Linked DNA regions of Coturnix japonica. The protein of the gene in region 2 interacts with the protein of the main gene of each other region in a pairwise test. Links are inferred from orthologs where the notes say so. Each region holds a gene or a part of one and is shown on either strand. Other genes may lie near its edges.

Region 1 (15,681 bases), on a different chromosome or scaffold from region 2:
CTTCATAATTATGTAGCTCACTTGAGCAACAAAACCCCACCTGGAGCTCAGTACCAAAAAAGCTCTGATATTATGCTATTTCTCCTTCGTCAGTCCAAGAGACAGGTCAGTTTAAAAACTGATCTAATGTTTGAAAATGCAAGAAGTAAATACTTAAAGACATTAGGATCTTTATACTAAATGTGTTGTATATTTTAATAATATTTTTGCTTCAGTTTAATTGAATTGTCCAGTGCTTCTATAGCAAGTCATTGGTTTTTAAGAACACATTTTGTTCCAGTGAACTGAGAAGGTGAGGTAGGATTAAGTTGCAAAAAGATACCTTCTGCTGACATCAGCATAAGAAGAAACCTGTTCCCCTTCCCTCTCTTTTGCCAAAGTGATGGTCATGTATTTAATTTACTCCTTTTAAACATGTGTTATTGTTCTTTAAATAATGAAATAAATTTATTTATTCAAACATATTTCAGAAAGGGTTATGAAGATCCAGAAAATATTGCTAGAAAGAAAAAACTTGCATCAAACAGCAGCATATAACCTCCCCTTCCTTCCCCACTTGAATTCTATACAATGACACCAGAAGATAAATGCTTTTTCTTTCCCCCCTCAAATTATAACCACAGTTACATTAAACTACTAACTTTAAAGCAGAATATAATTCAGTTTTTTAAGTAGAAGTATTACAAACAATCATAGGTTTACAACTCCTACCACTCAAACGAGGAAGAAAAACTTTCTTATTTTTGCATAAATGATCCCTAGGTTTCTTATTTTTACAGGGCAGTATTACAGGAGACTTAAACCACCATCTACCTTTAGCCTAGTTTTCAACTAAATACAGCCTAGTTTTCATATGCCATGACTGTACTTCCCAGGAAAAATGAAGCACTTGTATTTGAAAGGGAGAACACACCACTACAAAAAGGAATGCATAACAACCACATACAGAGTAAGGCCAAATGTCATCATAGTACAGCCTTGTTTCTTTGGTTCAGCTCAAGTCTCTACATGTTAATGTGTATTATATATAAAGGAGCTGTGAGTCAAGAGCTTCTAGGTCATTAAGCAATCAGAAGACATATTATCTTGCCTTTAGAAAACAGTACAGTGCTCTCTCCAGCACAAACACACACTCCCATAGATAAAGCATAAAACAACAGAGGGATGACTCCTACTTACGTGTCAGAGGAACAAATTTACCACAGTAAAATGCCTTCAAAAAGAAGGGAGGATTTGTGAGAAGCTGAATTTTGTCATTTTATGTGTTTCTCACTCCCCTGCCAACTTACCTGTGTACGAAATTGCAGGTTCCATCAACAGGGTCAATAATCCAGGTAGGACTGTCAGTGAGGACACATTTGGAACCAGCAGCAGTGGATTCTTCTGCAATAAACCTGCATTGAATGGGGAATAAAAGTCTCAGAAAACTTGCTCAAACATGCGACTCAGTAAGTTTAACTCCATCTTGCTGTCTTTTGAAGAAGTATTTAGTTTATAAATACATACGAATGTTATATACACATGCTCATATATATATAAAATTAATATATACATAATACAGACATGTTTCGTTTTTTAATTGAGAATGGGAAGCTTTCAGATAAACTTTAAATGAAAGTTCTTGACTTCTTAGCATACTATTTCATGTGGTAAAAAAGAACTCCATTCACATTTTTCTTAATACGCTATTAAAAAAGTAATGAAAATTAATGCAGAAATTGATCTAAATTGGCACTCCTGGAACTCTAAAGGAGGTTTCTCTGTAGAACGTAAATTTATGGTTGAGGTCTGTCTCTTGCAATAAGTAATATAAACTTCAAAACGTAGCTGCTTCTCACTGCAGTTAAATTCAGTCAGCAGGAAGTAATGAACTCCCAAGAATCCACAACCTGACTCCTATTAGACTCTTTTTAAAGTAGTCAGAACCAGGAAATTAAAAAGTTTGCACAGTTGAACTTTCTTCTTCCCATGACCCAGAGAAAATACATTTTTTAAAACATTTTATTTATTATTATTTTTTTTTGTATGCACAAGTCACACACTGAAATTTGAGCTCATCTTCTTTCCCCATTTCTTTCATATCAATGCTTTTTTTTTTTAAATCTTTCTTCCCTGGGAAATGAACATCCAGTTCTGGAGTATTTCCTGCTGACCTTAAGTATCCTTGCTCTCCCACAAACTCAGTGCCTGTTTTTGTAAGAGCTGTGCAGGTTGCTACTCTCACAGATTTGAATATAGTTCTATATATACAGAATGTGTAGAATTAGACTGCTAACACTGAATCTCGCTTTTGGTTTCACACTTGCTACATAAAGTTGCAAGAATGAGCTTCAAACATCCTGTAAATGGCACATATGGAGAGTTCTTGAAATTTCCATGTGCTATTTTGCCTTTTCCTCAGAAGAAAGGGACTATTTTGATGGCATTATGGACCCCCATCTGATATAAGAAGGGAAGCAGCAAGTGTTTGTTGCTATTTCAATCTCCATTAAAGAGAACAGCTGAGGGACACTTTAATTGTTAGTGTGCAACTAGAAAGCCAGAAAAAACTTAAACAAGTGTTCTCAGTCAAACACAGCACGTTACAGATTCCTTGCTCTCTGTATTCCATTGTTTTGTCTCATTGATATTTTTTAACATACAACCATTTTTAACCCCCACCGTAAGCTCAGGCAGCACTCCTGGCTGCAGATAAAACCCATCTTCCTGCAAATGGACGATGTGGAAGCTGGTCCTCTATCACGCACAAATCATGCCTCTGTTTCTACCTCGGACAGATCCTTCATTGTAATCACTGTCTTGCCAGTCAAAAGGAAGGTGAAATGGGATACTCTTGAAAAACAAGTGTATTTCTATAAGGTGCTTTATCCTTATGTATCTGGGTGACAAGTCTGTCCCTTCCCTTTCCCCTACAGTGGACTATGATGTTGCAGTCCTCAAGTACAAAGCCCTAACATGAAGCTAGGGTACAGCAGTACCACTTCTAAGTACTCGTGTACAAGGTCAATTTTCCATTATGGCTGCTGGACAAATTAGGTGCACACAGAATCACAGAATTGTAGGGGTTGGAAGGGACCTCCAGAGATCATCGAGTCCAACCCCCGTGCCAAAGCAGGCTCCCTACACCACGTCACACAGGTAGGCGTCCAGGTGGGTCTTGAATATCTCCAGAGAAGGAGATTCCACCACCTCCCTGGGCAGCCTGTTCCAGTGCTCCGTCACCCTCACAGTAAAGAAGTTCTTCTGCACATTCGTGTCGAACTTTATGAAATTTTTGCTAGCAGGTAAAATAAACCAGTTGCTGCTACGCAATACTGGGTACTGTGATTGTTCCTAAAGGCTAACATCAGATGTATTGCTCTATAGATCTGTGTCCTGTAAGAACACACAAACAGAGTAAAACATTCAGGCTGAAGTCCTAAATTCCAAATGTTAGGCATAGTTTAAGAAGTGGGAGGGGTAGCAATGTTATTACAGTAGTTAATTTAACTTGCCAGCCTTTCAGCTCTTTTGACCTCTGTTCAAATCTGGATTAAAGTTTTCTCCCACGGAAAATGAGTCTGGTAATTTTATCCTAGCCTTAGTGGACATCTGTTTGCGCCTCAAAGCCACTGTGAAATTCAGTGCTGGAACAGCAGGGAAGCTGTAGCACAGTACAAAAGGGGCAATATCCATTGGAACATTGAAGGCTCAAACTGGAGCTGCCCCTATGGGAATAGGGTCTGAGGGCAAAATGCTGGTAGACAGGGTTGGATGTCCAAGTTCTGACTGGAACAGCTCCAGGATTAAGGCCACAATTGACACCAAAGATGACAGCTTGTGTAACAATAACACGGGCAAATGACACAATAACATTTTTCAGCCAGCAGTCCATGATATTCTAGCTCTGCCTATCTGTCCTATGAAGATCTACCAGAAAAAAAAATAAACATTTGGGAATATTTCCTTGGAGCATTTCAGAGCGCCAAAGAGAATGAGAGCAAAGAAGAAAACTTGGTTGAAGCATAAATGAGAATGATACATGTCCCTTGGCGAAGCGGAGACAAAACAAAGAAATATAGGATAGAATCACATTTTTAACAGGTTTTCTTAACACTTCTCTACTCCTGAGTACATTTCCAACATACTGGGATGTATCACTGCCATAGCAAAAATGGTATAAATTTCAACAGGATCTCTTCCAGGTTTTTTAACTCCCAGGATATATTTCTCGAGTCAGAGAACATAAGAATCAAGATAACTTAAGGGAAGGATGACTCTATAAGGAGAATCAACAGAAACTTTCATTGGTGCTTTCAACAGCTGGATTAGGGAAAGACTGAATAGTTTAAGTGATCTCTTGATGTTTTCACTGTACTTCAATTTAAACCTTGATTCCTTCTGTGGATTCCTCGTTGCAAGTATCTAAATTTAGTCTTCTAAATCTAGTTCTAATCTACTGTTTAATCTAAATGCATTCGCTGTCTGAACAAACTCCAAACAAAAACAACCACCACTATCAGCAAAAATGAACTGCCTTGAAGAAACAGCAATTCCTTTATTTGCCCATAGCAAGCCCTTTATTTGCTTCTGGAGTCAGAACAATGTTGCACAGAGTTAGTAAAAGTTAGATTATTTTCTGTTTCTTGGTCTGCTTTGACCTTATAACTTTTGTTTCCATTTTGAGTAACTTGAGCGCTACTGTTGATTCCAGTTTCATGCAAAATGTGTATGTTTTATGTTCTCTGCCAGGCAGTTCAAGGAAAGAAGAAACAACAAACCGTGCAGAAGAAAGAAGAGCACTGCCAGCAACAGTAGATGGAATATTACAGAAATAATAGGCTTGTAAAGCCTGGCACTCTCCAGAGAATCGCAGCCAAGAACCACACATTGTGCTGTACAGTACTGTTTCGATATGTGATCACATACACCATGAATTCAGAAAGCCATATTTAGTATATAATGTTCTTTCTATTCATTCTTTCCTTTTTACTTCTTGTTATTTTCTTACAACAGCAGAGCCAACAAGCAGATTAGTAGCTGAACCCTCTAGATTCTCATCTTTGTTGATTTCTGCACAGTACTAGAGCGCAAGGCTCTTCTCCATTAGAGATGTACACAGTTAGAAGGAAGTCATGTAGCAATCAAGTGATACATAGGCTCTGCAGGCAGATGGATTTTAGGCCTGTGTACCAAAGTCAATTATGAAAATCAATGGCAGCGTCTGCATCGAGCCAAACCTGACCAAGTAATACAAAACTGCTTTCTCATCTGTGCATGTGCTATGAAGAGGTAATTTCAAACTGACTTTTTAAAAACAGTTTAGCAATCACAGAATCACAGAATGACCCGGGTTGGAAGGGACCTCAAGGATCATGTAGTTCCAACCCCCCTGCCTGGCAGGGCCACCAAACATACACCTTTACTAGATCAGGTTGCCCAGGGCCCCGTCCAACCTGGTCTTGAACACCTCCAAGGACGGGGCATCCACAACCTCCCTGGGCAGCCTGTTCCAGGGCCTAACCACTCTCCTAGTGAAGAACTTCCCCCTAACATCCAACCTAAATCTTCCCTCTTTCAACTTAAAACCATTTCCCCGTGTCCTGCTATTGTCAGCCCTTTCGAAGAGTTCACTCCCCTCCTGGGAGTTTCCCTTCAGGTATTGAAAGGCTGCAATGAGGTCAATCACAATCAAATCACAATCTGACCTTCAAGGACAGAATCTTAAAATTCCCCTTAAATGCTTGTCTGATATACAGCTTTTATAGGAAAAATGGTCATTCATTGTTTTCTTCTACAGATACTTACCTGTGGGAGGGAAATTTCTCTTTCAGAACAGAAATAATCAAATTTTCCACAAAATGATCAGTCTCGGTGACAAGATCTGCTGCAGATGTCTTCGTGGACACTTGTTTTTCTTCTGTTAGAGCTTTCCTAATAATCTGAAAGAGAAGTTCATAGATCAGTCTTCATTGCCATTTATCCTGTGGACACTAATGTGATATAATTACTAACGCAATTATAGCTAATCCTGAAAAACAATCACGGGTCTAATTATACCAGAACCTATTCTAGCTCTTCTGAGTAAAAATCCTTTGGAGATAATGAGCAGCCTTTTGGAACACGGCATTTGCAGGAGCCTCTCTTGACAGTTCAGAAAGGGATTAAGGATTCGTAAAAGGATGATGGCAGTCGCTGTGATGTAGGAAATTACAGAAAACACATCTAAGATTAGAAAGAATCTTGAGGCCCATAAATTTTCACAGAAAGACATTTTTTTTCCCTAAATATACATATATAGATTTACAAGGCCAATAACTCACTGCTCTCTTACCTTAAAAACTATACAGTAAATCAAACTCCACCGTTTTCTTTTTGCCAACAAAGACATAATATTTAATTTTTCTCGTGTGTAAGACTGTTTGAATGTCCAAGTGCTGAGCACCCATTAGTCCCAAAGAATTGCTGTGTACATAACAAAAACAAAGATTTAGGCTTCTCCTCAGATATGGCACCAATGATCTAACTCTGGAAAAATCTTAATCTCCTTTTAAAGGGTTTTACTGCTATAAGCTCAGAATTAAATCACATCAGTAGCAAATGCACGTATGGGAACACAGTAAATAAAAATGTTTCCTCAGTTTTCCCATTTTCTTTCTCTCTTTTTTCTTCCCTTAACCTCTTTATTTAATAAACAAACAGAGAGAGAAGGAAGGGAGGAGGGGCGATAATGCTCAACTAGCAAAAGGAGCTGCCTTGTTTTTTAACCGGTGACAACTATAAACTCTTTGAAATTAGGAAAGCCAAAGCAAAGCAAAGATTAAGCACTGTTTATTTCTACACAGTTACATTAAATGAAAAACAGCAACAAGAAAACCAATATCCCACATCCCTTCTACAACACTGATTTCTTTAGTTACATTTCCACGGATCAACGTATTTTAAAGCTACCTAAAAAGACGTGTTTTAGGACCAAAACAGTTTTGCTTGTATTACATACAGGAAAGGAAACCAGGAACTCCCTAATCTCACTCTCAGCTCTTGGGTTTTGTAGTCTAAAATACCACATATGAAGGAGCTTCAGATGGTTCTGACATGTAACTGACTTTACTGACTGCTGCTTTAGCATGGACTTGGCAAACGGACTGTTTCTGCTTCATGAGCTGTAAAGCCTTAATTCTAACTATTTATCCAAACCGATGAAGATAGATGTGAACATTTTGCTTCAAACTCTTGCTGACGTTCATTATTGTACACCAAAATATTTTATTTATTTTAATTCTCTCAATGCCGCGCATGTTTTTCTCGGTGCTTTAACCACATCACTGCAGAAGCACCACTTTAAGAAAGCCCTCAGGCTGCTCTTCAGTCCAAAGCAAAATCCAAAGTGCTGCAACTGTCTCAGCTGTGTTGTGTAACCTCCCTAAGAAACCTGCTATGCTCACGCTTTTCATTTTCATCCCTCCTCTTTTATATTGCCTGTGAGTAAATGTGTTGCTGGACTCTGCCTTTCCTAGCACCTTTGAAATATTAAGGCTTTGGAGCACAAGCCTTATGGGGGAGGGGGGCAGCTGAGAGAACAGGGATCGTTCAGCCTGGAGAAAAGGAGGTTCAGGGGATACCTTATTACTCTGTGACCTGAAAGAAGTGGTGAGGCAGTGGCACAGGCTGCCCAGGGAAGTGGGTGGGGGAGGCACTGTCTCTGGATGCGTTCAAGAACAGCGTGGATGTGGCACTGAGAGACGTGGTTAGTGGCCACGGTGTGACGGGCTGATGGTTGGACTAAGTCATTTTAGAGGTCTTTTCCAATCTTAATGATTCTATGATTAAATCATGCAACAGAGAATGGAAAGGACAGAAGGCCCAAATGCCTTTTCAAGCACACCTGCCAGGACAACCACCTACACAGGGTGCTCACATTACAGATCTCATCCCACTGTTCTACTTATACTCAGCACACTCTTCTGGGAGCTCCAAGACAGAATTACTTGCTTGCAATAATGTCCTGAAATATTTGCTCACAGGTAAAACCAAATGTCTAGATAGAAAGTATAACTACCTGCATATAATTTATGAAATAACCACCTGTTTGGCTAGAAAAAAAAATCAATGCTCCTTAGAAAATAGCCTAAAAGCAAAAATAGGGAAGAATGTTTGGAAATTTTGCACCCCCTCCCTCCTCTTTTTTTTTATTAAAGTGAGATTCTTCCGGGTCTCTCATAGAATTATTTTCTAAGTAAGAAAACAACTTCCCCAGAATACCGGTGGGCTTTAACACATCAGCTTCTCATTTCATTTTCTCCCCCTTCTTTACACCTTTCTGCAGATCATAGAATCATAGAATTACCCAGGCTGGAAAAGACCTTGAAGATCATCAAGTCCAACCGCAGCCTAACCAGAACCCTAACTCTAACAACCCTACACTAAATCATATCCCTGAGCACCACATCCAAACGGCTCTTAAACACAACCAGGGATGGCGATTCAACCACCTCCCTGGGGATGTACTGACTTTGGTGAAATTTCTCCAGTCGTAATTGCAGAGAACTGTGCAAATATTACCCAGTGCTTAGAATAGCATCTGGGGTTCAGAAACTGGTATTTGCTTCTCTTTAGCAGCAAGTCATGGTAAGCAGACAGGCGTACTTCTCACAAGAGTTTACTCACACAAAAAAGCAGGAGGAGGATGAAAAAAATCCAGTTCTGTGTGGCATAAGAGTGGATTAGACATAATTTTAACACAGGCCAATTACAGACATTACAAAACCTTGGCTACTGTCTTTGTGAAATAGCCATTTATATTAAAGGAATGCCTGGTACATTTCATAAGAATAATGGAACTTAGTAACAGGATGGGAAAAAGAAACAATAACCTCAGCCTGGGAATGGAAGTTACTCCAACAACATCACTTCTGAAGCACATTCAGGCAATCACCTATTTATTGGCCTATACAGCTTAGAAAGAAGTTTTCCAGAGCCTTGAAGGAAGATACATTTTACTTCCACTCCTGAACAATACAAACCCAACAGTCACATAAGCAAAAAAGAAGAGAGCAGGAAACCATCTTGCTGGTTGACTTTTTCTCTAAACCCCAATTTCTGACTTGCATGCTTTTCTTTGAGTTGGCCTCTACATCAAGACTCTCAAAGACACTTTCTAACTATCACAGAATCACAGAATGACCTGGGTTGGAAGGGACTTCAAGGATCACGTAGTTCCAACCCCCCTGCCTGGCAGGGCCACCAAACATACACATTTACTAGATCAGGTTGCCCAGGGCCCCGTCCAACCTGGTCTTGAACACCTCCAGGGACGGGGCTAACTAGAAACCTTCCTAACTTGCATTGGATTCCAGAAAATGAGGGTCTCAAAAGAAAGGCTGAAATGGGAAAATTGCATGCAGAGATGGATGGAGACAGCACTGAGCTCTGGGGAAACAGTGCAAATGGATCTCTAGTGAAGGCAGAGGTGTGAGGGACAGGAAGAGAAACAAAAGAAAAAGATAGTAAATCTAACCCCATAAAATCTAAGTTACACCCCACTTTCTATCCTTATCTCTAATTTCTTTTGGGAGTAGCAGGAACTGGAATGACACTTTAATAATATACTGTGCTGCCAATTGCAAGGTAGCAGTATCAAAGCGCAAATGAAAATGATGCAAACATCAACCACTGTGATTTTCCAGGTCAGCAAAGCAGTCCTGGCTATTCCCAGCATTTGGTATTTTGATAAATAAGGTGCAGAGGCTCGAGCAAGCCATGAGGAGCTCTCTTGTGAAATGGCTGGCAGAACCAGCATGCTGGGGAACTCCCCTCAGATCCTGTGAGAGCACAGCCTGTCATCCCGATTTGGATCATCCATTTACTCCTTGTGTTACTAAAACAAGTCTCCTCTCTCCTGGCGTTCTGTTCATCCCAGTGTGCGCGCATGTGTGTTCTGTGAGCGGGAAAACGTGTTTAATGACACATGCTAAGGAAGCATTACAGGTCCTGGCCTCAAGATGAAAATGGAGCTCCTTAAATAACAGCGCGTAGGTACAAAACACAGCAGAATGGAAGCAGAAGAGAAACGCACGCTGCTGAGCTTCATGTTCTACCCAGTTTTTCCTCTGAGCAGCTCGCTGACCCCACTTCTGGGCTCTGTTAGAGCTGGGGAAATTCTGCTGCAGCACACAGCTCTGTTAGAGCCAGGGAAGAGTGGAACACAGGGCCTCTCCTGAGGTGAGTGACTGCCTGCTGTAATGAAACACAGCAAAGCCTCTGCTGGGCTGCCCTGGTCAGTGAGTTTCAGTCCCTCTGAGGGCACCGGTACAACAGTTAGATGCAACCTCTCTGGCATAGCTATTTTCTTCTGCATGCAAACTGCTCAAACCCAAATGGTGGTAGAGTAATGCACGGCAGTCAGCATAAGCACACCACGGCACACAGCCTCAGCTGAACATACACTCAGCATTCAGCCTTAGCATCACACCACGCTCCGAAACGCCACAGCCGCAAGAATAAGTGCTTGGCGTTCGACTGGAAAAGTTACTAAAGCGGCAAGATTTGTTTTAATTATTATTATTTTTTAAATACGTACAAGTGCGGGGAGCCACACAGGGCCGCCCCGGCTGTTCTCAGCCCGAGGTGACCGCGCACGGCCCCCGGGTTCCCCCCACACCGCCCCGGGGCTGAGAGAGCTCAGATAGCGCCCGCCGAGCGCCCACACAGCCCTCCCTCAGCCCGCAACCTCCGGCTCTGCCTTTTTTAACGCCTAACCCCAAAGCGCACCTCCGCAGCCGCCCGGGAAGGATGCTACGGCAGCGGAGCAGCCCTGGCCCACCCCACCGCCCCTTCCCGGCCCTTTTCGGCCCCGTCCCACAGCGACGAAGCCCCGCGGGTGTGTAGCGCTCCCCACACCGCGGGGGGCGGCGGGGGGCGGCCCTCACCTGCCCGGCACGGAGCGCCAGCTGCACCGCCACCTCCGCGCACTCCTTCCAGGGGTCTCCGCCACCCGCCGCCCCCTCTTCTTCCTCCTCCCCGCGGGGTTTCATCGCGGTGGCGGTGGCTCCGCTGCCCGGGTAGGGCCGGGGTCGGAGGCCGGCTGCCCGCCGAGGAACGGCGCGGAGGAGGAGGGCGGGAGGGAGGCCGGGCCGAGGCTGCCGCTGTCACTCGGAGCCCCGGCACCGCCCCGCGGGGAGGACTGGGAGGAGGGAACGGAGGCCGCCGCGCTCGATGGGGAGGGCTGGTCGCGGCGGCCTGGCGCTAATTTTAGGTGAGCCCCGGGGGCGGATGAGGGGCCGGGGGTGGTGTGGATGAGAGCGGCAAGTAGGGCGAAAGGCGGTGGCGAGGTTGCTGGCCCGGTCTGCCCTGATCCGACCCGCCCGACATGGCCGCTGCGGGGCTGGCAGTGCTCGGAGCGGGCCGCTGTGCTGTGTGAAAACCGGGCCTAGTGGGCTGCCAGCCGCACATCGGCCGGGCTGTGCGGCCCCAGGCAAGCAGGGAGTGTGTGTGTGCTGCATGGGATTGTGCTGCTCTGGCCCGCCTATATGGGTTGGCTGCTGTGTGAGAAAGTGTGTAATCCTTAGTGAGGAGCTACATCTGAACAGGCTGGAGTGGTGGGCTGAGGCCAGTAGTGCCAGGCCTGCCCTTTGGTCACAGCAACCCTGTGCATTGCTAGAGGCTTAGGGATGGAACCCTGTACTGAGGAAAAGGATCTGGGGGTGTTAGCTGAACATAAGCATTGTGCCAATGGCATCCTGGCTTGTATCAGAAATAGCGCAGCCAGCAGGAGCAGGGAGTGATCATTCCTCTGTACTCAGCAGTGAGCACCTCAAGTGCTGGGCTCAGTTTTGGGTCCCTCACTACAAGAAAGACATTGAGGCCCTGGAATGTGTCCAGATAAGGGCAGTGAAGCTGTGAGGGGTCTGGAGCAGAGTCCAGACAAGTACAGGGAGCGGCTGAGGGAACTGGGATTGTTCTGTCTGGAGAAAAGGAAGTTCAGGGGAGGCTTTATTGCTCTCTAAAACAACCTGAAATGCGGCTATAGTGAGGTGGGGTTCAGCCTCTACTCCCAGGTAACTAGCAAGAGAACAAGAGGTTGTGAAAGGCCTCAAGTTGTGCCAGGGAGGTTCAAGGTGCGTATTAGGAAATAAAAATTCTACTCCAGAAGAGTCGTGTGGCACTGGAACAGGCTGCCCAAGGAGATGTTGGAGTCACTGTTCCTGAAGGTATTCAGGGGCTTTACAGATGTTTGAGTGATTCTAAATCTTCCTTATAGAGAAATATGACCCATGATGGATGTGTGCTTATGCAGTAGGGTATCCTGTCCTTCATATTTACAGTACCAGGTGAGCATTTGGATCTTCCACTTGTGTCAGCCCAAGTGAGGCTTTTCCAAGTGACTCGCCAAGTGACCTTGCTGGGAGAGATGTGCTAGGATGGTAAGTGAATAGACCAGTGAGATGTCATAAAAGTAGCCTGAGCTTTGGTAGCTTCTCCTCATGTCTCAGAGCCGCTACAGCATTTGGAGGCTTGCTGTGGTTAAGCTGCTGTATGAGCCATCACAGAAGGCTGAAATAGCAACTGAATGAACCCTCAGAACTTGCAAACTCATCTCAATTGTGGTGAAGCACTGGAAAACAGAACTGAAGAGCCAAGAGGAGCACTTAGGAAATCACTGACTGCAGCTAGTGTTTTAAAACCTTACAAAATACACTGCAAAAAACGATAGTTTCCTGTAAGCTTTATAAAGAAGGCTGCTATTTGCTGATGGCTGTTTTATTACTCCCGTTCTGAAGCTTTTTCAGGCTTCCTTTAGCCCAAGCCTGCAAGCAGTAGGAGCTTCTTGCTGCTGTGAGCTGCCAGTTGCTCTCGCAGTTGCGTGGTTTGGGGCACGCTGCAGTTGTTCTTTGCCTGCTGGCTCAGGCTCTGGGCTCACCTTTCATGGCTGCCAAGGTCTTTCGTAACCTCTGATCTTTCATAACCCTTAGTGCTAGCCAGTTCCTCTCACACGCCTTCTGTAATCTACACACATGCCGTGCTTTTCATCCCATTGACTTGCAGTAGACTCATCCTAGGTGAACTTGAAATACAGGTGTTTCTTGGGTGCTTCATTAGCCTGAGTTCTTCTGAGCTTGACCTGGGTCTTGCAGAGGTCGGGCTTCCTTTCCTGAGACTAAGTGCTCAGCAGAGGGGAAAATACGTTGCAAAACAGAGCGTGGAGTGCGTGCAGTCTTTGATTTCCTTTTCTCACAGGCTGTAAACCCCTGTGAGTTAAGTGGAGGTAGTATTCTCCTTCATTTCCTTTTCTAAACCGTTGTGCAGCATTTCTCTGCTGTCTGTGCCGCCCAGATCCTGTTGGTAGCCAGCTCTGTCTGCAGTACTGCAAGTAGGGTCAGTGAGAAGGGAAGCTGCTGTGACTGAAATTGGTTTACTTACGCCTCAGCCAACAGTTTGCCATTCTCTTCGTTGACAGTAATTGCACGCTGCACTGATGCAATACAATTTGTTGTAGTTCTTAAAGAGAATGAGTGACCTCTTACAGCCAGCACCAGGGAAGCTGCAGATGTCTCCAGATACAAATAGCTGTCACTTTGCAGGTTTGATGGATGATCTCTTAATAGGAAATTAAACGAGAGAGCAAGTGACTAACAGCTTTAATAAAAACGGGGAGGGGAGGGGGGAGCAAGTAATCCATTGGAATTATTAGCCTGATGGTGGGAAAGAGCATTTCATTGGCGACAGCGATTAGCTTGCTGCACTGTTATTAAAGCACTTCAGCGTGATTCTGTACAGGTGGTCTTTTTACACAGCATAGGATTATATTGGATTAGTCACATAAAATGAATATTTACTGTTTCTAGCTCCTTTCTGTGGAGCTTTTCTCAGTACCTCACCAAGAATGAAGTTTGAGTCTGACGGTCTGTCTGTGAGAGATGACAAAATGATGACAGAATGTGGCAGTAGTTTGAGTGTATTTGTCATGTAGCAGAGTAAATTTTATTGCTGATAAAGAGGATGCTTGGTCCAACATTTTATTTTCTTGTCTTTTGGGGGTTCAAGAAGTGAAGGTACATTGTAAGAAGATGTCCCCATTTCTTGCTGGATTCCCATGAAGAACCACGCACGTGCTTGTTCTGCTCCATCAGAAACAAAAAGAAATTTCCAACACTGGCAGTGTTTCACGTAATGCTCATTAGGGACTCCAGTCTGCGCTGCTCTCAGTGGTGTGTTAATTGTTCCCTGTGTTTCCTTCCTGTTGCTCAGAGTCATACCCTGACCACATTTCTCCTGTGCATCCAGGAGGCCCTGAGGTCACTGCTCACTGAGTGCCCTCCATGTTCTCCTTCATGCCATAAATTATAAGAAAATAAATTGGTCTCAAGTGGAATTTGACCTTCAGATCCATTCGGGGAATTTGATAACGTGAAAATCAAGATTTTGGCTTTAAGATCTGACAGTTTATAGTAAAATGGTGTCTAGTGTTTTCTAGAATTTTCAAACTGGCTCCAATTCAAATCAAAACCAATCAGGTCTTTGTGTTTGATATACAGGAAATATTATTTGACTTTGGATCTGAATTCTGAACTTCATAGTTGGCTCTCTTCCACAGGTGTGCTAAGGCTCAGCGTAGCCAGGTTGCTTCCTATTTGAGGGAAGGGTCTAGAATACAAACTGGATTACTGCTTTCAAATCGAAGCTGAAACTGAGATGGAGGCCCTTCCCCACCCCCACATTGGCCATTTGGTTCAAGATTGTTCCAGGATTTTTCAGCTGGCATTTGTCTGTGAGATCGACAGGGCTGGTTGGGCCAAAGAATGTAATGTCTAGAAAGAATGTGTGCATTCTTCCACACAGAAAGGGACTCGGGAGCCATCTTTGTTACCTCTGGTAGATGAAAGAGGGATTCATTTGAAGCAGATGATTTTTTTTTAATGTGTTTTTCTTATAAAGGCATCAAGATTTTCACTGGAGAATTTAATTCCTGGAAAATCTCCTGAGGATAGTAGGTCTTGCTGAAGGTTAGAATGACATACACTGCCCTTTAATCTGTATGGAAAAAAAGGTTGTGCCTGGAGTTATTATGGGGTTGCATGAAGTAATCTCATGATCAGAGATTTGCTGACAAATTCAATGATTTTGGTGCACATGTAGCTGAAAAAAGCGCTATGGGTCACATTCCTGCTGCTTGGCAATAAGTAGCAGGCTCAACACCAGTGGGATCAATGACGTTTTCATTTGTGTGTGCCAGCATGAATTGTGTCTCTGTGCATACAAAACTATTAGAAACAAAGCAAGGAAAAAGGAATGTGTTCAACAAACTGCCTGAATAGTTACGTAGGGAAATGCTTCGGCTGTAATTGCAGTGACAAAACTATGACATTCCTATAGGTCTCTTCACTCATTTCCCAGCTTTTCTTTGTGTTGGTTTCCAGTCCGTACAATTAAGATGTCCTGCTGATAATGTTTGAGTTGTGAAAATATTTGGATCTTAAAAAGCGTGACTAGATGTTGCTTTGTTGCCTGCTTCTGGGTTGGCAGGAGATCAGCATTGTGCCCAGGGCTAGTTACTGTGTTTGTGGAAAGGCTAGGGAAAAAAAGAGTCTGGGTCTGCAGATCTCATGTCTAAGGATGATCCAGGACGTACTGTGGGCTTGTTTTGTTCGCTGCTTTGGACTTATCTGGGTTGTGCTCTGAGTTCTGCCCAAACGTGCTGCTCAG
Region 2 (16,209 bases):
AGCTGTGCTGCTCTATGTTTGTAAATGAACAAGTCTTACCACCGTATACTCAAAACCCTCTGGTGAATAAACGCATAATTCTAACATTCCAGTGAAAATAAGAATATCTACTTTGAATAAAAAGACTAAGTGGAAACATGCAGAACAGTTTCTTAAAGCTTAGGCTTGTTTCCCCATGCATATTTACTGCATGTCAAAGCCACTCTGGGAAAGAATTCTCAACCATCAGCTCAATGAATCTGTTCTTTATTGTATAGAAAAAAAAGGACTGCAGCAAAATATTTCAGATACTCTTACCACCTACAGAGCTTTCTAGGCTTTTTGAAGTCTCTGGGGCTACTTCACTCTAAAAGGATACGCTACAACAGCACAGTCGGGGATGCGACTGTTAAGGAATTCTGCTGCAACTTCTGCTTTCGGTCGCCCAACATCTTTCGGTCTGGAAAAAAAAGGAATTATAAATGGATTAATTTGTAACATTCAGTCTTTTAAGAGTTTATTTACAAATACTGAATTAAGTGACTAATTATTACAATGGGACAACTTATTGATACGGATAATATTAAGACATTTCTGTAAAGCATTAGATGTGAGAGCCCCAGAGTTATCACAGTCCATCCCTGAAACAGCTGTTATCAGCACACCCACACACACAGACACACATAGATCCGATTAAAAGAAAGGGAACAGAAAAACTGCTATCTCTATTTGGATGAGTTATACTTTGGTGTCTCTATCTTCTCCAGTCACTAACAACACAGATCTCAGGAAAAAAAAAAAATCACGCCTAACATGTAGCTAACTGTAAGTACTATTTTACTATTGTGATGTGGAAGTTCAGAAACCTTCAATGACATTTCGTCCAGCAAAATAGTGATTGTATTCACACGTATTGTTTAGATACAAAGAATGAACAATGAAAATAACACTTACCGAAACAGAAACTGTCGGTTAAGGTTGGACACATCTATAGTATCCATGTCAATTACATGGATCTGCCTAAAACCAGACAGTGCCTGTGAAAAGAGATAGGCAACCTCACTACATAAGCAATGAAAAGCTTACAGTGCTGCAAGATTCATTCTGAATGCCAAAAAGGCAACCTTTGGAGGAACAAATGTAGGTGTTCTTTGTTCCCTGTGCAGATCAGCATGTCAGCTCTCTTTGTTGAAATGCTGGGTTGCTAACGCTGGTATTTGGACAGATGGAATTAGCAACATTTCAGTTGTCAAAGCACTGGCTTTAGAGAAGGGAAACGCTTTGCAGTGTTCTGAAGTGACATAAAAAATTGAGTCCCATGCTCTACTCCCCCCCCACCCCCCTTTTTTTTTTCTTTCTATAAAGACTCAATCTTGTCACATAAAAAACTTCAAACTTCTTGTTTGATGCTTTTTCTACATCCCATGTGTAATAACTGCATTAAATGCTGCACTGTGAAACTGATTAAACAAATGAACAGAAAGTAGCCTCTGGAAGAAAAGCAGTAAGAATTTCTGTATGTCATATTGCGTATCTTTAGTGCTGAACACTCATTTAGTTCACAAATCACAGTTCAGTTTTTGCCCAGTATTATCAAAGCAGATCAGAAGAGCCTAACAAAGAGAAGAGTGGGCCCAAAACATGAGGAACAGACACACTGGAGCCCTTAAGATATTTTTACTGGTGTTTCAAAGACACTGAGTACACGTGAACATCATCTAGACTTAAGTATGAGCATTTCTTTCTGAAAATTATAAAAGTAAATCACAATAACTTAAAATCTTTTGGAAAGGTGGAGACTGGGCATACATGGCAGATTTATGAAAACCCTTAACACAAGTCCTTCCTCATAATTAGCAACAGAGTGAATTTGTTCTTCTCCAATAAGCCTACAATACAGCAGCTCTAGTCAGAAGTTTAGTTTACCAGCACTACATTTTCAAAGAAAGAAAACTGCTATGTAGTTTTCAGTCTCTTCAAGCAAAATCCTGCTTAAGTAGAACGGTAACAAAGCGGTGCCAGAATAATATTACTCACAAGTGCTGGAACTCAAAACCCTAAGTTAACTTATCTGGAATGCCTGACTTCACATGAGGTGAATGATTTATCCAGCACCTCAAGCTTGCAGGTAATCTGTAGTGTAGTGAAATAGCAGTAAATAAAAACCATACTAAAATGAATCAACTCATAATTGCTCATATAGAAACTGTACTTTGTAACAATTTGCTATATCAAACCACACATTTTCCATGTAAACAAACTGTAAGGACAGAAGTTTTTACTGTTGAAGGAAGCAGGTGAATTACAGAAACTTAGTCCAAACTAAGTGATGGTAAGCGATACATTACAACAAATAAGAAAGGCCATGAGGAAGAAAATAGAGTAATAGAAAAATTAAACTCATACATACTTATTGGGTAAATGTCAGATAGCACACTATCCCATGGCTGCATTTTTAAACACTTAAAAACTGCTTCTCAGAGCTTGTAGAGAATCCATTACAAGCTAGCACTGCTGTCAAGAAGAGTACAGTAACTCTGCAGTGTATTTTCTTTGGTCTCACACCTATTCCTCCTTAGCCACTTCCATATAGGATAGCGCATGTTGGTCTGATGGAATAAAGAAGCTTTTTACACAGGCTGAATTCAGCAGCACTGATGCAATCCTGAAAGAGTCCTAAAGATTCTTGTTGAGTCTCTGGAGAGAAGCTCATGTTTACTGAGAGCCACTACTCTCTGGATTCCAACAATGAGGAGGAGGTCACCACAGGCACAGTAAGACTGGCTCTATTACTTTCATTTTTAAAGATCATAGGTCCAGCATTTCCAGCCTCTCTTTGCATTAATCCAAACACATAAAAAATTAAGTTAATCTTTGGCTGCTAATGATAAACTCTCTATTAGCCACTCTTTGTATAGTTCATTTCCCAGGATCTCATAATTGGGGGAAGGCTGAGGGAGTTGGGTTTGTTCAGCCTAGAGAAGAGAAGGTTGCGGGGTGACCTCATTGCAGCCTTTCAATACCTGAAGGGAACTTACTCCCAGGAGGGGAGTAAACTCTTCAAAAGGGCTGATAATAGCAGGACTAGGGGAAATGGTTTTAAGTTAAAAGAGGGAAGATTTAGGTTGGATGTTAGGGGGAAGTTCTTCACTAGGAGAGTGGTTAGGCCCTGGAACAGGCTGCCCAGGGAGGTTGTGGATGCCCCGTCCTTGGAGGTGTTCAAGACCAGGTTGGACGGGGCCCTGGGCAACCTGATCTAGTAAACGTGTATGTTTGGTGGCCCTGCCAGGCAGGGGGGTTGGAACTACATGATCCTTGAGGTCCCCTCCAACCCGGGTCATTCTGTGATTCTGTGTGATTCTGTGGGGAAAATACCCAATATTAGGCCCTACCTAAGGCTGTAAATAAACATTTTCCTGCACTTCATACACAGCAGCACACTGCTCCTCAGGAGAAACACTGAGAGAGCTCAAAGAAAATAAGTACACCTTACACTACCACCCTTCAAGCTCATTTCAAGGAGTAACTAAGATCACAAGAAAAGGATGAAAACTGAGTAATTACCAGGTTCTTCAGGAGTTCACATCCTAACCCTCCTGCTCCAATAACTAGTACTTTACACGTGCTTAAAAGAAATTCAAGAGCCTGTGGAAAATATAAAACAAACAAACAAACAATTAATACATCATATAGGAAAAGGTACCATTTGTCCTTTGTTTCATACACCTTACAATTGTGTCATCATAAATTTTCAGTGCACAATAAGCTTCATATAAAATAAGTTAGATCAATAACATAGTTTAAGCTTGCAGGAATAATTATACTTGGACTTTAATCAGTTGTTAAGTTCATGTAATTCCTGTATCTCTACTTAAAGGAAAGCGAGTCTGTTTGCTATCAGTATTCTCTTTGAATTAATTTGGCTGTGAAAAAAGAAAAGCAAGCTCCATTTTATTATTACTCAGTTTAAGGACACATTTCAGTTTAGTGTTTTTCCCCCAAGCAGCTTGCTTACATATAATACAAAATAAACAGATAGAAAACATTGCTGGCCACATAGTTTTTTTTCTATTAACTACATTATTAGACTCTATAGTCAAAGTAGCATATAATGGAATGGTACATTTAAAAGGTTAAACACATTCAACTTTAAGCTTTGAAACAAAAGGTACCAAAGCAATGAAAGGAGAAGAAAATTCAGAGAGGCAAAATTTTGCTTTTCCCTATGGAATATCCCAATTCTCCAAGTACTCATATTAAGTTTAATTTCTTAAGTACAAGGAATTCTTTACTGTGCCTAATTGTTTAAAAATCAATAGACTAACACTATTTTTCATGTGAAACTCAAAGATGGAGAATAATTATTACTGTGTATCATAGAATACATTTCTACACATGCCAGCAAGTTGACAGTTTACAATCTAGAAATAAAAGTATATGAAAAGAATATGACACACTCTTCTAATATAATCACATTCACCAATTGAAATACATGGTCTTCACATAGGTTTACTGTTCATATACTGCTGGTAGTCAATTAATGAAACCACTGACATTAGTTTCCAACACACAATACAGTTGTTTCTTAATTTAAAGTAATTGTTTCTCACTTGAGTGCCTGGCTCGAAATCAGGATGTGTGAACGGTCCAGATCGCTCGAGGAACTTCTTTACATGGTTCCAGCGACCTTCCCAGTCTCCAGAGTCCCCATACCCACCATCAACAGCCATTCTGCACAGAACACAGTAAATTCAGCTGCAAAACCATACAGAAATAGCCACACTTCTAAAACGTGCTCTTTTTTTTTCTTGTATAGGTTAAAAGTAAAACACTGATCAGCCATGCAAACGGATCCACATGTTTATGTTGATCACAAACACGTGTAAGCCCACATCTGCAGGAGTGGGCTTCATCAGTGGCCCCAGTAAGCAGTAATACAAACATGCAGCAGACAAAAACTGGCATTTCAATAAATCCCACTGATTTTGCTGCTACTAGTAAAAGTTGATCTGAAGAGAAACGAAAAGGGTGAGCTCTTTTCCCTTTTATTTCCCTCACATTTTAAGAGAGCATGTAAAAAGAGGCTGCCCTTTAGATTTTGAGGGTGCTGTTCCCTCAACAAAGTGAACAATCTTCACCTGCCATGAGTCCCATGTATTTAAGACACTCTCATTTTCCACCTGTCTCCTGAGCCTGTTAGTAGTTACTATCTAACTTGAAAAATAAACTTGCAGTTTTCTTCTTCTAAATTACAGATACAGAATTTTACACGAAGTATTCCCAGTACCTTTTGCAGGTCACTTTTAGTAGTACACAACTATAAAATTAAACTGTTAAAAGACTTACTAGAAAAGCTCAAAATCAGCTCACTTAAATAATTTCCTAATGTAACAGCACCTACAAGGAACAAGCCTTTCCTTAACACAGCACACCTCCCTTTTTAAGTATGAGCTCCACACATGAATACAAATGACTGTTTGCTCTATGTTAATACAAAACTAAGCTGGTTATAAATGAGCTTAGAAAGGTTGGATCATCATCGATAAGAAGCATTATTTGGTTCCTCCTATGAAGAAATATGAAGAAAGTCTATATCAATAATTGTTGATCAATGTTTAGAATGTATTACTTCCTTGGGTCACATCTAGACAGTGAATCTCTTGATCCTCACAGAATTCAGATGGAGACAGAACAGCGTCTGTGATGGCATTAACTTCTAGGTCATAGTTTTGCAAAAGGTTTTCAGTAATGGGAGAAAAAACTTAACTGAAAAACAACAATAAACATATTGGATTCTGCCTGTACTTTGACCGCTGATTGAACTCCATCCTGGTCAACTGTTGGCTTTACATAGGTTAACCTAGCAGTTAAATAAATTCTTCATAAGGAGCTTAAGTACATAGAGGATATTTTGATCTGTATCCTGTGTTTCCCACTTTGCATCAAAGTAAGATTTTAGGAAAGCAGGACAACATAAAACTCTTCCTCCACTGAATCACAGTCTCAGCTGTTTTAAAATAGGATGTTTATGAAACAATAACTTCTGCAAATGTAACATGGGTGATTATAAAGCACAATAATTGCTTGTATGGATTTTATCTTGTTCTGGAAAGAAGTGCAGAAGTTAAGTCTGGTGATACTACAAAGGATTCTTTAATCCTTCTTTTCAGGCAGTATAAACAGCCACCAAGCAGCTGTAGTTGTCTGTTTAGATGTTTATTTTTCTTTTTAGTGGTAAGATGGCAAGACCTCGTCTCAATTTTGCGAATATATTAGCTTGGTTTTTACAGAGTTGGACATTGTGGAGACCTGAAAAACACCAGCAACTCAACATGAGGTGTTACGTTTAGCTTTAGAGACACGTTTATTCTTGTGTTGTTACAGCACAACCAGGCATTCACATTATTAGAATTCAACAAAACTTGCATGTGTTTCAGTGAATTTTAGATCTTGTTCAAAACATCAGAGCACCACAACCCTTCTAGGCCCACACTTTTCCCTGCCACCTTCGCACACCCAAATGCTCCATGCTTGTGCAGGATGTGGCATGCACCCCACAACCCACATGCCTCGGGGTTTCTGTGACCCTCACCCCAGCACGGCTCTGGGAGCTTTGGGAAGAGGGCCACAAGGAGATGGAGGGGAACAGTCAAGGGATGGAAGCATATGAGGTCAGAGATTTCTGCATGTTAGTTTTTAAGGCTGAGCAGAATTTAGAGCTTTAAGAAGCAGAAGCAGCTGCTCTGTAGACTGAAATATTCACTTTGGGCTAGTTTTGAATCACCTGCTCCTAGCCTAGCAGCTCTGCCAAGTCCTGGCCAGCAGCAGCTCTCCCACTCCTGCCACAAAGCTCTCAGCACACCAGCCTTCATCATGCCAAGCTTCAAGCCCGCAACCCACCCCCTGCTGCGGGTGAGCCCCTCGGTCCTCTCCCCAGGAGATTCCTCTCCCCCAGTCCTTGCTGCTCAAGCGCCCTTTCACCTTCCCCTGGCTCTCTCTCACCCCCTCAATCTTTCTGCTCCCAGGACCCATCTCTGCGGCCTTCACAGCACAGCCCAACCTCTCTGCGGGGCTGCGGCTCCCCTCACTGCCAGCCGCCCTTCCACAAGCGCTGCCTGCTTCTATCTCTGTCCCTGTCTCTACCCTGGGCCGGGAGCCCACTCGCCCGCAGCCCCGCACTAACCCATCCGCCAGCAGCTCCTCTAGCCTCCTTCTTTTCTTCTCCCTAAAAGAGAGAGAATAAAAGAAGGGTCAGTATCGCGCTACACAGACCGGGGAGGAAGGAGAGGGGACCCCAGGGCCCACCCGTCCCCGGGAAGCGTGGGGAAGGGGCTGCCGAGCACGCACATACAAGGCACTTACGGTTCCTCACCATCCGCCATATTTTTTCCCTCTGCTTCCCACAGTGCCCCGCTCGCCGCCGGGCTCCTGCCATGCGCGGCGCCATCATGGGCGGTGCTATGGGGGCAGGGGGGGATGATTCCTTAGGGCTTCTGTGTGTGATACACAACATAGGGTAAAGGCAAACATAGAGATAGCTTTAGACATGCCTCCATCAGCCAGCTCTGTCGTGTCAGCTCCTCTCTCAAGTATTTTCTGTTGTCTTCCCATGGGAGCGCATAGAGCTGCACTGCACACAGGGGTCTGTCTATATGCAGAGCGAGGAGCGCTGCTGGAGCTGGGAGGTGGGAAACAGACCGTGCAGCGCTCATAGAGATCGTGATCATGGCCTCAGGCTCCTGAATGCACCCTGAGGAACGCGAATACTTCGTAGATTGAGAAGCTGCCACAAGCCCCAGACGTTACAGCCACACCTGCATCAGGCATGTGTGCTCAAGCCACGATAAATGAAGCGTAAAAACACTGAAAATGTCCTAACGTGAGAAGTTAGAATCATCACAGACACTGCGGTTGGAGGATGGAGGATTCGGGGTGCATCCACCTCAGTGTGACCCGAGGCTGTAGAAGCCCCACCAGCCTCATTGCCGGGGATGCAATCCGGATTCGGCGTGACATTTGTGTAGAACGAGCGAACAGAACGTACAACCGCCGGTGACGAAAGCACCGTACAGTGCCGGGTACGCGGAGATCTACGTGCCGGCCTCTCCTTTCCCATTTCCCCGCTGCCCGGAGCCGCCCCGGGGCGGTACCACGAAGCCCGAGGCCTGCGCGGCGGTGGGGCGGGGGCAGCAGCCATGGAGGTGCAGGTGGCTCCTCTGCGCTCCTGGGAGGATTTCTTCCCTGGTTCCGATCGTTTCGCCCGGCCCGATTTCAAGGACATCTCGAAATGGAACAACCGGGTTGTCAACAACCTGCTCTACTACCAGACCAACTACCTGATGGTGGCCGCCGCCGTCGTCGCCATCGTAGGGTCAGTGTGCGGGGGGGGCGGTGGGGCTGATACTCCCAAACGTACAGCCGCCCTTGCTTTGTGTTGGGTGGGGGCTGGCTTATTTAGAAGGTTATTTTGACGTGGTTTTTAATTCCTCTTGTGGCTGGGTGGCAAATCTGGGAGCTGCCTTTTGTTTCTCGGGGTGCCTGGCAGAAAGCAGCGGTGGGTGTGGGTGCCGGATGTCACTGTCTGCTCTGCGGCGATCGCTGCTTCCTGCCTTAGTCTGCCCAGTGTGGCTGTCAAGGGGAGATAAACTTCACTCTGAATTCCAACAAATGAGGAGATAAATTCTGCTCTCTGTTACATCTTTAAGCCTACGCTGAGGGGACAGAACAAGCCTTTCTTATTTCTGACCTAGTGCAGATTGAAAAGCCTTCAATATAAAATAAGCACGGTACCCATCCATCTTTGTGAGACCGAGACCTTCGTGTCTCATGTCAGCTGTAGATTCCCTAGGGAGAATTGGGAAAGAACCTAATCATTATTAGAATTAAAGCCTGTTTGACTCTTCTGTAAGTGCTGCTTTAAGATCAAGAAGCTCTTTGTCAGGAGTTGCAGCAGAGGCTGTGATGATTAAGCTTTTAAAATGGAAAATGAAATACGTTTCCTACGCTCGTCACCAAACAATGTGCAAATGCTTAAACCGGAGGATTGCCTGGCCACTAGGCCAAAGTGGTTATGGCAGAAGTATATTTTATCATATGTGTTGCAGAGGCTTAAGTTCTTCGCCCTATCCTTTTGTGTATGTGTGTGTGTGAGTGTGTGAAGCAATCTGTAACTTTTTAGGGCTGCTGACGTTATTGACCCAGTGTCTGAGTCAGTGAAGAATCTTTGGGATCAGGGAGTTTTGTCCCGTGCTTTGTGAAAGGAGAAGCTGAGAACCCTGCTTTTTCCCTATTTTTTGCTGCATATCAGCTAAGGGGCATGGGAGATTTTCTTCTGAATTTTGGTGGAGATCTGAGCCCTCTACTCAACCCAGCAGCAGATCATTAGACAAGTAAAAAGAGATTTCCAGACCCTTACTCTCTTTAGAGGGAGTCTAATCTTCTCTATCTACCTTCATTTAGTAGTGTGATTACCATAACCAGTTCTAAATAAGCAGGTAAATTAAAGCAACACTTGAAGGCAGGAGAACAACTCATCTACCCCAAAAAGCTGGGAGGAAAAAAAAAATGAACAATTTAGTTATCCTCAATTGGAAAATTGGAATGGTAGCAGCTTTTACTCCTACATTCCTTCCCCCTTTTATTCTCTGATCTCACATCAGATCAAGGGTGGTGATACATTACCATTTATTTCCCACCGTTTTGCTGAGGTGGTGGTAGGGAGGAGAGCCACAAAAGGCAGAGATTAATACCAGAATTGTAATTCTAATGTATTTATATTAAATAGTAACCTGCTATGTTGAAAATATACAGGCAAGAAAAACCTGGAGTGAATTTGTTTTATTGCACATTTTAGAGCCTTTTGTATGTGGCAGACCTGCTTCTTCAACACTGAAGAAGAATGGGAGAAGAACTCTAAAGGAAACAGGCTAGCACTTCAATAAAGAAAAGCTATCCATTTCTTTTTAATAAAAGATTTTTCTGTTGGCCGAGCTGTAGCTTTGGGAGAAAAGCCAAGAAAGGTGTCCCAATTAAATTTACATTGATGTCTAAGATGCAATCTTGCACTTCACCCTCTAGTGGGCAGGAATCCTTGGGTGATAAGTGATGAATCATGGCTTTTTAGGAACTCCAGGACTGCATGTAGGCCTACAGGCAGGATTACTGAAACCAATAATGCAGTGGTCTCTGTGATCAAAACTAAACTTTGCCCATGACCAACTCTACCTGTTCTTAAGCCACCTTAATTATGCAGACAGGCATTAGATGCAGAGATGATATTTTGACTACTATAATAGCGTGGTAGCTGTGGTAATGCTGGGCTGAGATGGAAATTGTACTTACAGTATCAAGAAATCTCTGGGCAATGGTGCTTATTGCTGTGGCATAATTTACTGCCTCCTGGACAACAGAGTTGACCTCTTCAACATATCACCATCTCCACATCTCTTTATGGCATGGAGTACCTTACTGTGAGTGAGGGCCTTTCTTACTCTGAGCTAGGGCCTGTCACTGTGGGAGGCACATGCTTTGGCACAGTGTCTTCTCTGCAGCCTGAAGTTCAGTGTTGCTTTCCTTTTGCACCCTGCTTATTTAAACATCTACTGGCCATCTGCATAGCACCTGCAATGAAGTGCATGGGTGTCTTTTTCTTTTGTTTTTCTTTTAATTCTTTATTTCCTTTCCTCCCCAGATCACTGTCTTGGCTGACTTGCTTGTAGTTAATTCCCTTGAGAGAGCAAGGATCGCAGAGCAGCAAAATACTCATTAGTAGTTTCTGTAATGCCTGATGAAATATTCAGAAGCATGCAACACACTGCTCCAAAACTCACTGCTGCAACGTAATGCTACATAACTTCATGAAGTGGATAAAAACTTCAGTTTAAAAACAAACATACAAAAACCTTCATAAAGGCACAGCCATTCTGTGGAAAGAACTCCCAACTCCTGTTCTGAAAGCAGCCTGAGTGAGAATCAGTATGTAAAGGAGCCTTGCTAAATCTGTGGCTGCTGTGCTCTGTTGCCTGGCTGTGCACAGATTTGTTAGTGACAAATCAGAGGACAACATGCCATTCATGGGTTTACACTCTACCTTCAGGTTTGCTGTATAACCTCACTGAACCCAGAAGTATGGGGAGTGGAGAAGCCGAACTTGGTCTCCACGTTGTTTCAATTAAAACAAATGAGGAAGGCAGCAGGTATCTGCTCTCGCCTGCTTACTGCTTCCAAGGTGTGTTGATTTCTGGGCTCACACTGCTGGAGGTTTTCTGCCTTGAGCAAAAGACGAGTCTTGCTTAGTTCTTTCTCCCTATGCTGTAGCTGTGAATTCTCCAGGCCGGTGGTTGTGGTTCTCTCTCCTGCTAGAAGGCTGAATGCGGGAAACTAAAGAAATATCTGCTTTTGCTGTCAGAGTTACATAGTTACCAGTACTCCTCCCACACCATTGTAACCCCAGCCCCTCTGCTATCTTCTGGTACAGCTTCCAACTGATACAGTATCCCAAGGCGCCCTCCTGCAGCCAGAAAGAATGTTTCTTCTAATTGTTCTTATTTTTACCCCTCTTTTTCCTCTGTATAAAAGTAATTACAGTAGCAGACAAGTAACTGAAGGTGCTTACTGTTGCCCTGAGACACCGGTAGCACTAAATCCAGGTGACATTTTTCATTGCCAGTTGGTCACTGCTGCTTTGGAGGCTGCAGCATCCAACCAGGGCTGCATCTTGTCTTCCAGAGGGAGCAATAAAGTAGAGCATCCCTTTAGAGGGCTCTGAGCTCGAGGTTGTTTGCACACCAAATGTTGCTCAGCCCTGCCATACTGACTCCATTCAATGTAGTGAGAGAGAGCAGTTCTCTTCCTCAGCACCCAAAGAGTATTTCTTCCCTTAAGATATCTGAGCAGCCCAAAATCAAGTTACCACAACTCTGCCATGCTAATAGTTCCATGCATTACATTTTTAAGTATTTGAGAGGTCTTACAAATCCCTCCTGAAGAGAATTATTTTTAGAAAGTATCTTATTACATACTTAATGGCTGGCCACTTACCTTGTCTCAGCAGCTTTGAAAGACTCCCAGCCTATTTCCCAACCATTAATTCTTTATGTTGTGTTCTGTTCTGTCTATAAATGTGGCTAATATCAGTGCTGATGGCTCAGCTATGAAAGGACTTTCAGTGTTGCTATACAGCTCTCATTTTCCCCCAGATATGTGTTCTAAAAACTGTGCCTGTGTTTTTAGTTCCTGTTTAGTCTCTAGCTGTCGTGCTGCTGAGAGAAGTGTGCCAGCAGCTCTGAATGAAACTGCATAATGGAGAGCTGACCCGCTGAAAAAAAAATGCCATTGCTGGAGAATAGATATCTATATATAAATATCTAGGAGAACTTTGCTCTTGTGGTGATTCAAACAGTGGAGGGAGCTTGGCATGTGACACCCTATCCAGTACTGTAATCAACGATACTGAAGCCTGTGGACACATGGCTGATAATCTGAATACCAGTTTTTAGTGGCAACTGCTATCCCCCATCTGTTTTCATGTGGCTCTGAATGACTTCATTTGATACTTATGTTCACTGTTTCCTTGTAAGCATTGGAATGCAGCCCACTTGAGAAAACATGTAATTCAATTAACTCTCCCCAAGAAAAAGGGATCTTTTGAATGTATTTTTTTTTTCCTTCACATCCCTGACAGCAAGTCAGTAAAACAGATCCCACATAATAACAGAAAGAGCATAAAGCAGAAGGGTCTGTCTTTTCCTTACAAGCACAGGGTTTTCACCAGCAGTTTCAGCAGCTGTAATGAGAATGAGAGGGAGGATGGGGAAGATAAAGCCTTGGGAGTATTTACCTGACACCTGGAAAATGTAGCATGGAGCTCTGCCTGGCTCTTTGTTCCTTCCAGGATTATTTTTTCAGTGACTTTTTGGGAATAAAACCAAGGATTGCTGTAAGTAAGTCTGGCCATTTCTACTCCAAGCTAACAGTGATGCCGAGATGATTTCTTCTTTAAGAATCTCATATGTCCAGTTGTATGTATATAAACAGGATACTAGCGTGGTGCAGTCACGAGTCACCCTCCTTTGGCTACAATAGAACACAGATGAAGCTGATTTCTTTCCAGAGCAGTACTGTTCACTTTTTCCAGCCTGGAAACTTAGGATTGACAATTCAGAGCTAAATATAATCTGGCTGGCTGCAGGGAGTGACTCAGATGCAACAAGCGAGTCTGCCCTATCGCCATTTCCAAATAGCCATGCTGGCTCTTCAGCATGAGTAGCAGAAGCAGGTGGGGAGCTAGTTTGGATTCTAATCTCTTTTTATCCAGTTGTCCTGTCTCCTGTTGGCGCAACTGACTTACAGAGTCTAGAGCCAGGCTCTGAAATCATTCTGGGGGTTCTTTGTTCTCTAGGGAAATGCTCTCTGGCATTGCAGGTACAGTGTTGACATGCCAGTCCAGAAAGAGATTTCTTCAGCTTGTGCCGGATATGAAGCACAGACCACAAACCATAGCATCCTCCTCAGCACTGGAGTAGAGTGGTGAGTCATTGTGCCCATGACTTTAGAACAGTAAGTCTGACTGCAAGGTCTATGGCAGAAAATCTTTCCTGCTTTACAAGAACTGCTGTCATAGTGGTAGCAGCTCAGAGCACTCAGCTGCTGTATAATTAGGGCTGTGCAAAGATAAGCAAGTAAATCAGAATGCAGAGGATGCACAGAGCTTATTTCGATAGAAGTGAAATATAGTTGAGCCTGGCTTTTGTACAAATACAGAAACAAGCTAAGCAGAGTCATCAGTGAAAACTGAGGACAAAGCAACCTCTTAAATACTTGGAAGCAGGTGATGTTCTCATCCTGGTCCCAAAAAGGGACTTGCTGTTTATAGTCCAGAGCTGATCCACTCGGTGGCTTGGTTTGCTTGGTAACTCCAATAACAATAATAGAACACAAACCTCAGCAGTCGCCCCTTTGCCAGGCCTGGCTCTTCTTCCTGCAAGACCTTTACCCCACGTGTCCAGTTCCGTCTGACTCTCAGACACTTTTGCTTGGGTCTGGGCTTCTGTGTGTAGCACTGATGGTGGTAAGCTCCTGCAGGTTCATAAAGTTACCTTAGTCAGGTTAAGAGGGATAATTCAGAGATAAAGGGCTATGCAGAAGAGCAAAATATTAACACATTTAAAAGAAGAAATCATGGGGTGAAAGTCTTGGCTCTAACAGTTGTTTCAATTTTGTATTCTCAGGAGTAATGCCTGCTGGGGAAAACCTTCCTTTCCTGTCACCTACCCACACAATGTATCTTAACTTTAACTTAAGTTACTTCAGAATCTAATGTTTGTTTGGCAAGGGAGTTAGTGTAGTAGTTTGTATCAGCATCATGGTATTTTCTAAGATCTGCTGTAGTTTTTCTTTAACTGTAGGCAATTTAGGTAGCTGGGCATAATGAACATTGCCTTCTTAGTGTAGCAAATTGCCAGTAAGTTGCTTCCACATGCTGGTTTTGACATAAACACCATATGCCAAATTTGGTAAGTATCAAAGGCATGAACAACAGTGAACTTTCTATACTCAACATTTCCCATGTGTTTTGCCCTTTGTAAGTCTAGACAAGATAATAAAATCTAGTTGGTCTGAACATCTAGGCTGAGCTGCTTTTGGTAATGTGCAGGGGAAAGATTCACCGACTTGGAGCGTGATACCAAGCAAAAGTATTGATAGCCTAAGTGGGAGTCAGCCTGGTGCTAAGTGTGTCTATTAACAATGCGATGCAGAAATTCTCATTATCCTCAGCTATGTTCCAGAAGAGAACATAAAGACAAAGATTATCTAAATGCGCTAATTCATGGCTAATTCAGGTTGCTTGTTCATTTGCTTTGGGGTAATAATGAGAAGTCAATAAAGACTTTTGCAACAGTAGCTGACTTCTTAATGACTTAGCTAGCTATCTACCTACCTAGCAGCAAGCTGGATGTTTGCTGCATGGACACTATTGACAAAAGCTCAGAAACAAACTTCATTTTCTCTATTCTTTTTTTGTTTGTTTGTTTGTTTGTTTCTCTTGCCTCTTTACTCCAGATTTCTCAGTCCCCTGAATATGCTCATTGGTGGTACCGTGGTGGTCCTGGTGTTCCTGGGGTTCGTGTGGGTATCACACAATAAGGATATATTGCGCAGGATGAAGAAGCAGTACCCAACCACATTTGTGATAGTCATCATGCTGTCTAGCTACTTCTTGATCTCCTACTTGGGAGATGTCATGGTGTTCATGTTTGGGATCACTCTTCCTCTCCTCTGTAAGTATTTCTGCTCTTCTCTGAGGGCTGAACTGAGCTTTCTCAAAGAAGTCTTGGGAGACTAAATTGGCTAATAGCTGTATTCTGCCTTTAGTTGTCTCAAAGCAAAATCAAGTCTGGGGGAAGGGTACATGTAAAACATCCCAAGTCATCTTCAGCATTATTATTATTGAATAGATACTTGCTGTTACTGAAGCCATCATTCTGAGATCTTCTGCAAGCCAATGCATTCACTGGGAGTTACTGATTAATAACCGTGTTTTTGTTATGCAGTGATGTTTATCCATGCTTCTCTGAGGCTCCGGAGCATAAAGAACAAGCTGGAGAACAAAAAGGAAGAAATGGGTTTGAAGAAGACCCCAATGGGTATCATACTGGATGCTCTAGAACAGCAGGAAGAGGGTATCAACAAACTGGCTGACTACATAGCTAAAGTCAAGGAGTAGGCAACTGCAACATGGTGTTTTTACCTGTTGCAAGAGTGTAATTGCTATTTACTATTGTTCAAGCTTGCTTTCAGTTTGTGTACAAAAAACAAGAAATGCACATGTGGTACAGATTAATTATTGCAGGATACAGTATTCCAAGGAATTCAGGGCTCCTCTAAGACTATTAAAAGAGTAACTTTTTTGTTGTTGTATAATTAAATGTTCTGGTGTTTACACAAATACCAACCTAAACATATTTCCTTGTCTCTTCTTCTTGGTGGGGAAAAAGGGAGAAGAGATGGAAACCTATGGAATGCAGTCTCTTAAAATGTCTTGCAGCAAATTTGTCTGTTAGTAAGAGTAACACTCCTTTCATCTCAGTTCTCCAAGAGGGCAGTTTAGCCAGTTTGTTATGCTGTGTAGCAACTTCATGCTGGCAGTCTTCAAAGTGAGCTGGAACGTATGGAAAGTATGTATCTCTTGCATCTTCTAAACCCCTAACTCCGTTGGTCTTGTATTGAGAC

The links.
Region 1: the proteins of UBA3 (region 2) and IMPA2 interact in binary tests that used the Homo sapiens proteins (3 or more experiments, as listed by UniProt). The two-hybrid records come from large-scale screens. The link is inferred for Coturnix japonica from reciprocal best matches to the Homo sapiens genes UBA3 and IMPA2.

Annotation. Positions count from the first base shown.
Region 1 is NC_029517.1:87,670,956-87,686,636, forward strand, and holds the start of IMPA2 (inositol monophosphatase 2), read right to left. Parts: upstream 11,145-15,681; 5' UTR 11,013-11,144; coding exon 10,908-11,012; intron 5,922-10,907; coding exon 5,788-5,921; intron 1,395-5,787; coding exon 1,290-1,394; intron 1-1,289. UniProt on the Homo sapiens protein: Phosphatase that can use myo-inositol monophosphates, myo-inositol 1,4-diphosphate, scyllo-inositol-1,4-diphosphate, glucose-1-phosphate, beta-glycerophosphate and 2'-AMP as substrates in vitro.
Region 2 is NC_029527.1:12,736,061-12,752,269, forward strand, and holds the start of UBA3 (NEDD8-activating enzyme E1 catalytic subunit), read right to left. Parts: upstream 7,426-16,209; 5' UTR 7,362-7,425; coding exon 7,342-7,361; exon of another isoform or gene 7,329-7,341; coding exon of another isoform or gene 7,327-7,328; intron 7,205-7,326; coding exon 7,163-7,204; intron 4,711-7,162; coding exon 4,590-4,710; intron 3,625-4,589; coding exon 3,544-3,624; intron 1,017-3,543; coding exon 934-1,016; intron 440-933; coding exon 359-439; intron 1-358. Other genes in the region: ARL6IP5 (PRA1 family protein 3), read left to right, coding at 8,175-8,350, 15,040-15,257, 15,531-15,703. UniProt on the Homo sapiens protein: Catalytic subunit of the dimeric UBA3-NAE1 E1 enzyme. E1 activates NEDD8 by first adenylating its C-terminal glycine residue with ATP, thereafter linking this residue to the side chain of the catalytic cysteine, yielding a NEDD8-UBA3 thioester and free AMP.